Oryzias latipes: one gene and its partner. The protein of the gene in region 1 interacts with the protein of each later gene in a pairwise test. Links are inferred from orthologs where the notes say so. Each region holds a gene or a part of one and is shown in the gene's direction. Other genes may lie near its edges.

What was found.
Region 2: the proteins of cep63 (region 1) and sptan1 interact in a two-hybrid assay, tested with the Homo sapiens proteins (2 studies listed by BioGRID and IntAct). The link is inferred for Oryzias latipes from reciprocal best matches to the Homo sapiens genes CEP63 and SPTAN1.

What each region holds. Positions count from the first base shown.
Region 1 is NC_019862.2:2,683,087-2,686,905, reverse strand, and holds part of cep63 (centrosomal protein of 63 kDa), read left to right. Parts: intron 1-126; exon of another isoform or gene 127-198; intron 199-454; exon of another isoform or gene 455-526; intron 527-771; exon of another isoform or gene 772-915; 5' UTR 916-1,021; coding exon 1,022-1,062; intron 1,063-1,144; coding exon 1,145-1,322; intron 1,323-1,412; coding exon 1,413-1,508; intron 1,509-1,588; coding exon 1,589-1,675; intron 1,676-1,740; coding exon 1,741-1,854; intron 1,855-1,928; coding exon 1,929-2,081; intron 2,082-3,517; coding exon 3,518-3,642; intron 3,643-3,819. UniProt on the Homo sapiens protein: Required for normal spindle assembly.
Region 2 is NC_019870.2:24,685,463-24,689,281, reverse strand, and holds part of sptan1 (spectrin alpha chain, non-erythrocytic 1), read left to right. Parts: intron 1-183; coding exon 184-464; intron 465-571; coding exon 572-716; intron 717-814; coding exon 815-969; intron 970-1,246; coding exon 1,247-1,382; intron 1,383-1,489; coding exon 1,490-1,591; intron 1,592-2,123; coding exon 2,124-2,261; intron 2,262-2,392; coding exon 2,393-2,503; intron 2,504-2,584; coding exon 2,585-2,662; intron 2,663-2,780; coding exon 2,781-2,936; intron 2,937-3,055; coding exon 3,056-3,260; intron 3,261-3,819. UniProt on the Homo sapiens protein: Fodrin, which seems to be involved in secretion, interacts with calmodulin in a calcium-dependent manner and is thus candidate for the calcium-dependent movement of the cytoskeleton at the membrane.

The sequences.
Region 1 (3,819 bases):
CCATGGATTACATGAAATCTTTCCACCTTTGTCATGGTAGGGAGAACACGTCAAAGTAAGGGTGTAGTCATCATTTTGTGTGCTTAGAGATAATAAACAAAAATGATTTTCCAAGCCAAAAAAGGAGGGCTCGTCCGGGATTTGAACCCGGGACCTCTCGCACCCAAAGCGAGAATCATACCCCTAGACCAACGAGCCACGTTAAACGGAGATAGAAATTCTGACTTATTCTTTAAACTATCACCTGCAGGCTATGTATTCTACTTTGTGAAATTGAATTGTACTATTATTACTCTCAATGACATCGCTAAGAAAATATGCCGTAACTTCAGGCATTTACATCACCAAGACGATTGTGATTTAAATAACCTTTTCTAAGCATATGGCATTCGACGAGGCACCCACTTTGTGTGCTTTGAGCCTGTAAACCAAAAGTAATTCGAAACCAAAATAAGGGCTCGTCCGGGATTTGAACCCGGGACCTCTCGCACCCGAAGCGAGAATCATACCCCTAGACCAACGAGCCACGTGCCTACGTTCCCCTCCACAAATGTACTTATCTAGTATAGTTGTGTACTGGGTATACGGGCCTTGTTCTTTAATAGGTTTGTATAATTGCTGCCTCTATCATGATGTGCACCTATCTGTTTTACTTATTACAACTCTAATCGGTGGGCCTACATTACACTGCGCTTTTGGCCTTTAAAAAAAACAAGCCCATAAATAACGTCCAACGTAATGATGTCGTGGAGGATGGGCGGGGTTACCGCCTTATTTCAGGAAGTGTTTTGTAGTCATAGTAGCGGTTAATGTTATCATTGTCCGAGAGCCGCTACGACTTAGTCTTTTTTTAAGCTATAAACTCTTGTTAAAAACATTTAAAAACACTGACGTTTTTTCTTCTTTTTTTTCAAGGACATGAACTGAAGCAGGCTGAGCTGTTAGGACTTTTTTCCAACCATTTAGCCGTTTTACACTGCCAAAGTGAAGTTCAAGACTGAAAAAACCGTAAAACCAACTCATGGAGGCTCCGCTGGAATCCACGAACAATCGCGATCTAAAGTAAGAGGGATATCGCGACACCACGTGACGATCCGAGCTAAAAGTTTTTATCTTTACGGTGTTTTCTGCTCCTGCCTCCCAGCTCCGTGCTGTCTGCATGTGAGCCAGAGCTGCAGGAGTTGATGAGGCAGATCGACCTCATGATCAGCCATCAGAAGAGGGAGTGGGAGGCGGAGGTCCGGGCTTTGGACATGCGGCTGAAGAGCACAGAGGAGGAGCTCCTCGCCTCCAGGGCCACCATTGAACGCAGAGAACTGGAGGTGAAGCAGACTGATGTTGACACGACATGTTAGCACATTTGACACAGCAACTGGACGGATGAGCCTGGAAGATGTTTCTGATCCTTTCAGATCGGATTACTCCACAAACAGCTGGAAGACGTTCAGGTTTGCCCCCAAGATGTAGTCTCTAAATATGAGCAGCAGCTGCAGAAAGTCAGTGAGGAGGTGAGGCCCCTCACAGTCTAAACTTCTCCTGACGTTACAATTGTTTTCCACATAACATTTTGAGACACCTGCATTTCCAGTTGGATAAACTAAAGAGAAGTTACCACAAACTTCAGCGTAAACAGCTCAGGCAGACGAGCGGCGGAGCTTCCAGAGATCTTTCACAGGTAACCACTTCCAGGAAAACCCTGCGTAGGTTTGTCCTGACTCTGAAGTCTTCCCGTTCTTGCAGGAGAATCCTCAACACCCCCTGGACCGGGAGCAGCAGCGGGACCAGCATCAAAGCCAGCTGACAGAGATGGAGGCCCTGAACCGGAGCCTGGCCCAAGAGCTGCTTCAGATGAAGGTAATACCTGGATGGACGTGTGGATTTTAAAGGGGGAGGCGGGGCCACGGTTCAAACTATCTGTTCCTCTGCAGGCCCAGCCGGCATCACGGCAGCACTGGCAGTGCTGTGTGGAGCTGCAGCGTCTGCAAGCTGAGCTGCGGAGACCGCCGCCCGGCCCCCTCCCATGCACTCCGGACGCCGTCGGACAGCCTGAGTCGTCGGGGTGGACCCTGAGAGAGCAGCAGGTCAGAGGTTCCTCACATCCAGCTAAACGTCCCTCAGGTCCATCAATGGAAAGTGTCTAGACGCTAAATGTGGAACCAAACAGAAGAATATCAAAATCTCTGGTCAATGTCAGGCAGTTTAGTAATCCAATAGTCAAATTCTAAAATGTTTCTTTATTCTTCAGTTCTATAAGAACATAACTATGTTTAATGTTTGGTCTGCAGCCTTTAACACAGAAAGAGCCTTTTGGTTCAGTTTCTTACAGACAGAGCCACAAAGTCCCACTTTAATGTGCAGAAAAATGCACTTTGTTTATATTTTTGAGTCATTAATATTAACTTTAGTTTAATAATAACGCTCCTAAATTTTTCTACATACAACCATTTTTAGTTACTTTACATTACACGTTCCTTTCAAAATAAAATGCACCCTGTGTCTAATGACATCCTTCTGCTGCAACATATTAACTGGAGATAAAATGCAAGAAAACCACATCAAACACGTCATTTTCTATCATTCCGTCCACCGTCGTCTTTTTTTTAATCTTTTAAAATCCATATAAACATGACAACATTGGTGAAAAATCCACTTTTTCCTTTAAAATCTACACAGGAAAATGCATTTATGTACCTTAAACCCTTTGCCTGCAAACAGTAACTGTTGATCAGCAGAGGTTTAGAAAATGAACTTTACGTTTATTCAATCGATAAACTAGTGACAGTAAATTAAACCCTTTTCATCTTTTTGCTCAGTTATCTTAAAATGTAAAAAAAAAACGAAAAACAACGGAATAAAGCAAAACAAATGAACCAAAACCACAAATCCATTCTTTGTTCACATCATTAGCATTTTTCTTCTAAGAGCCATAATGGGGGGACAATGGGGCAGCATGTGGCTCCGGGGCCTCAGGCTTGAGACACCTGCTCTAACTTTAAAGAAAATGCTGTCAAGAGAACCAGGGAGATTATTTATGCGGAAAACAAAACCCCAGCAGGCTTGATATTGATGAATTACACATTTATGAATCATCAGATCATCAAATGAGGGGCCTTTTCATCTCTACGGGTTATTAGGAACCTGTTTTTTCTCTGTCTGGACTATATTTATTTCTGGCTCTACAGGCCAATAGTTTCATTTCATTTATTTTAAGCAGCTCCGTTATACATTGTTGCTGAAAATCAATCAGATGACCAAACTACACATCACCTACACTGTTAGTAAGGTTTGAGGTAAAGTGTGTGTTCTCAGCTGATCACCTCTAACAAGTCAATACAATCCAGCAGTGTTGCTGAGGTCATGAGGGGCTGATACTGGGGCAGCAGACGTGGTCCGGTTTGCCCTCAGAGGAGTGGAGAAGCAGTCTGGACTCCTCACGTTTTCTGCTTTTGTGTTTGGTCTGGATTCAGAACAGAGCACTTCAGCTCCTGAAAGTTCAAATGCTCTTTTTGTTTTTAAGCAGCTCTCAGAGGAACAGGAAGATCTCCACATCCAGGAGTCATTTGTGCAAAGAGAGAACCAGAGGCTTCAAAATGAAGCTGCTAAACTCAACCAAATGCTTCGAGCTAAAGATCAGGTCATTCGGTGAGTTGACTGCCGTCTGCAGCCTGTAACTTCCAGTGGCAACCACAAGGGGGCGTTCTCCACCAGCATTAGGAAGTGTACTGTATGGGATGAGATAACTGTAGAAAAGAAACGTAAGCATGAAGACAAAGTTGTGCCCAACTTTGCAAAAAAATCGTATTACATTTAGTTTTACGT
Region 2 (3,819 bases), on another chromosome or scaffold:
GCAGGTCATTCATTCAAGAAAAAAATGCCCCCAACGTAAGAGTTGGTAGAAACACGACATTATCAGAACATTTATGGTTTACTTTGTTACAAGCCCAGTATGTTTTCGTTTACATCTTCATGTCCTCTCAACTTTATCGTAAAGAAAAAAATCTGAAAACGATTTATTTTATTTCTTGTACAGGAGGCCATCACCACATCTGAAGAGCTAGGCCAGGACCTGGAGCATGTGGAGCTCCTGCAGAAGAAGTTTGAGGAGTTCCAAACAGATCTGGCAGCCCACGAAGAGCGTGTGAACGAGGTCAACCAGCTGGCGGCCAAGCTGATTCAGGAAGAACATCCAGAGGCTGAGCTCATAGTCCGCAAACAGGAAGAGGTCAATTCGGCCTGGCAGCGGCTGAAGGGCCTGGCGCAGCAGAGACAGGCCAAGCTGTTTGGGTCTGCAGAAGTACAGCGCTTCAACAGGTGAACATGGTCCAAAAGGCCCTCTGTAGACCGCTGGTCATAGCTGTAAGTCTGATAAAAAGCCATTTCTAGGATGGTATTGACTTTAACTATTTAATTCATAACAGAGATGTTGATGAGACAATCAGCTGGATCAGGGAGAAGGAACAACTGATGGCATCTGATGACTTTGGACGTGACCTGGCCAGCGTTCAGGCTCTTCTGCGCAAACACGAGGGTTTGGAGAGAGACCTCGCCGCTCTGAATCAAAAGGCAGGGCACATGCTGTATGGATAAACATGTCCGGAAATGACATCATCTGAACTAGGGACATCTCTAATCTGGTCCCCTACATTTTTCATGTGATCCAGGTCGATACACTGGGTGTTGAAGTGGAACGTTTGCAGCAGACGCATCCCCAAAATGCTTCTCAGATCCACCTGAAGAAGGATGAGCTCATCACCAACTGGGAGCAGATCCGCACTCTGGCTGCTGAGCGCCGCACCCGCCTCAACGACTCCTACCAGTAAATGTTTCTATATCTAACCTCTAGTTTAGGGCTTTGTTTTTAAAAACCAAAATGTTTTCAGTTTCATGGTTTTAATAAAAAAGTGGAAATGAATAAAGAAAATGACAATGAAGCTGCACATCAAATGTGAAAGCTGATCTTTAGAAGTTGAAGGTGTTTAAAGACAAACTATTTGAAATAGATCCTATAAAAAAAACTGTCTTGTTTAAATAACATGCACTCTTCATAGCTTCTCTGTCCCTTAGTCTTCTGCCATGCTGTCTGAATTTTTCAGGCTCCAGCGCTTCCTTGCAGACTTCAGGGATCTGATCAGCTGGGTAACGGAGATGAAGGCTCTGATCAATGCTGATGAACTGGCTAATGATGTGGCTGGGGCAGAGGCTCTGTTAGACCGCCACCAGGAGCACAAGGTAAATCATTGTTCTTTACAAAAACAAGCATTCTATGTTAATGCAAATGGCATTAATGCAACCCATGCAAGACCTTGTACCATTCTGAATATTTTAACGTCTTTCAGGGAGAAATTGATGCCCACGAGGACAGTTTCAGAGGCACTGATGAGTCTGGAAAGGCTTTGCTCAGTGCTGGACACTACGCCTCAGAGGAGGTCAAGGAAAAGGTACGGCTGTCATAAAATCAGTGCTTAATTTGCTTCACTCTTAGATTGATTTCTGATGCAAATTGCTGTGAGATGGACACAGACTCTTCCTTTTTTTTTCCAGTCAAGCCGATTTTGATGAATAGGATAAATCAGACAAAAACAGAGAAAACGGGCGTTAAGAAAAATATATCAATGCAAAGTCTTCACATTATTTTTGGGTAAAGTCATTCTCAGTCCCAGTGAATGAAGAGCCCTCCCTTCCTCTGCACTTTGGTTAAACACCCAGTGCAACATAAAGATGGAGCAAAACTGCTCCTTAGATTCTTTTTAATGCCTTTGAATAATCTAATCAACATACACTTTATCTGCATTAATAGAAGAACCATTATTTTCTTTACATTATGGAATGGAAAACTAATGGGATACACTAACTACAATATATTTGTGCTTTCATCAGATCTCCTTTGATCATTTTTGGAAGTTCATCTCTTTCATGGTAATAAGAGTGAAGCTAATTTTTTTACGTTTAATCGGTCGTATTTGTGTTTAGCTCGGCGTTCTTACAGGAGAGAAAGAGTCTTTGCTGGAGCTGTGGGAGGTTCGCAGGCAGCAGTATGAGCAGTGCATGGACTTGCAGCTCTTCTACAGGGATACTGAGCAAGTCGACAACTGGATGAGCAAGCAAGAGGTGAAAGTTGGCACTTATTAAGCCTCAGCTTGTACAGAGAAATGTGACGGAAGCATACAAAGCAGCAAATCATGTATGTTGGTTATATTACCAGACAAAAATGACTTCTCTAATGTCACTTGATTGTTTAGGCTTTCCTCCTGAATGAAGACCTTGGAGACTCTCTGGATAGTGTTGAAGCGTTGCTGAAAAAGCATGAAGACTTTGAGAAATCCCTCAGTGCTCAGGAAGAGAAGATCACTGTAAGTTGCATCATTTGAACAATTTGACCAAATATTGCTTAATTGTGTAATTTGGTAATTTATTGATGTGTTCTCCTTCAGGCTCTGGATGAATTTGCCACCAAGCTAATTCAGAATAACCACTACGCCAAAGAGGACGTGGCTACGCGCCGTGATGCTGTAAGCCCCACAGATGTAGCCTGTCAATGTTGAAGCAGCAACTGTGGACTCTTCTAAAAAAAATTGTTTTTAGACATTTTTGAGTTGTTTTTTCTCATGCTTTTTGTTTGTTACATAGCTGCTGAGTCGCCGTAACGCCCTTCATGAACGCGCTCAGTCACGCCGTGCCGCATTGGAGGACTCTTTCCACCTGCAGCAGTTCTGCAGGGACTCTGACGAGCTAAAGAGCTGGATCAACGAGAAGATGAAGACGGCCACTGATGAATCTTATAAAGTAGGCTTTCTTTTCATTTTTTTTGTTTTACTAAATCCAATGTTTCTTTAAACAGCAATGGTTTAAAAGATTTAGCTCCTTGCATTGGTTTACTTTGGTTTTTCTGCTCTAAACATCAGGATCCCTCCAATCTGCAAGGCAAAGTGCAGAAACACCAGGCCTTTGAAGCCGAGCTCTCTGCCAACCAGAGCCGCATTGATGCCCTGCAGAAGTCTGGCCAAGAGCTGCTGGACAGGAAGCACTACGCTGCAGCTGAGGTGGCTGCCCGCATGGAGGAGGTCAGCTCCCAGTGGAAGAAGCTTCTGGAAGCCACTGAGTTTAAAGGTAGTGTTCAAGTCTTAACACGATTTAGTGCAATTTAAAACATTCAAACAACTCTTTCCCTCAGTCACTTTCTGCTATATAGTTAAGGTTTAGGAGCTGAAAGTCAAATACTTTTGCATTAAAACACATGATGGTGCTAGAATGGATGCTTTGCAATTAAAAACTGACCGCTCATTTTTTTTTTTCAGAAACAAAAAAAAAGGTGTAGTCTAGTCTAGTCTTACAAAAGTTTTTTTTTAGCAGGTTTGTTTAGTAGTTGCTCGTATTCATTTTCTATTAATCAAAGTCCTCATAAATGAACAATTTACAATCTATATTTGCCTATGTGAAGGCACACAGTCCTTTAGACTGGAGTAATGGTGATTTGTTTATCTGTGTTTGTTTTGGACTGGAGGCAAATTGTAATTGACATGCAGAATAAAGGTTTTGATCGCTTTTAATGAGCACTGAAAGCTCCATCCTGAAATTGTTCAAAGTTCCGTTTCTCCTCCAAGTTTATATCTGATGGAGATGTTTGATCTTTGAACTCTTCATGACCCGGTTCTTGCAGTTAAAAATT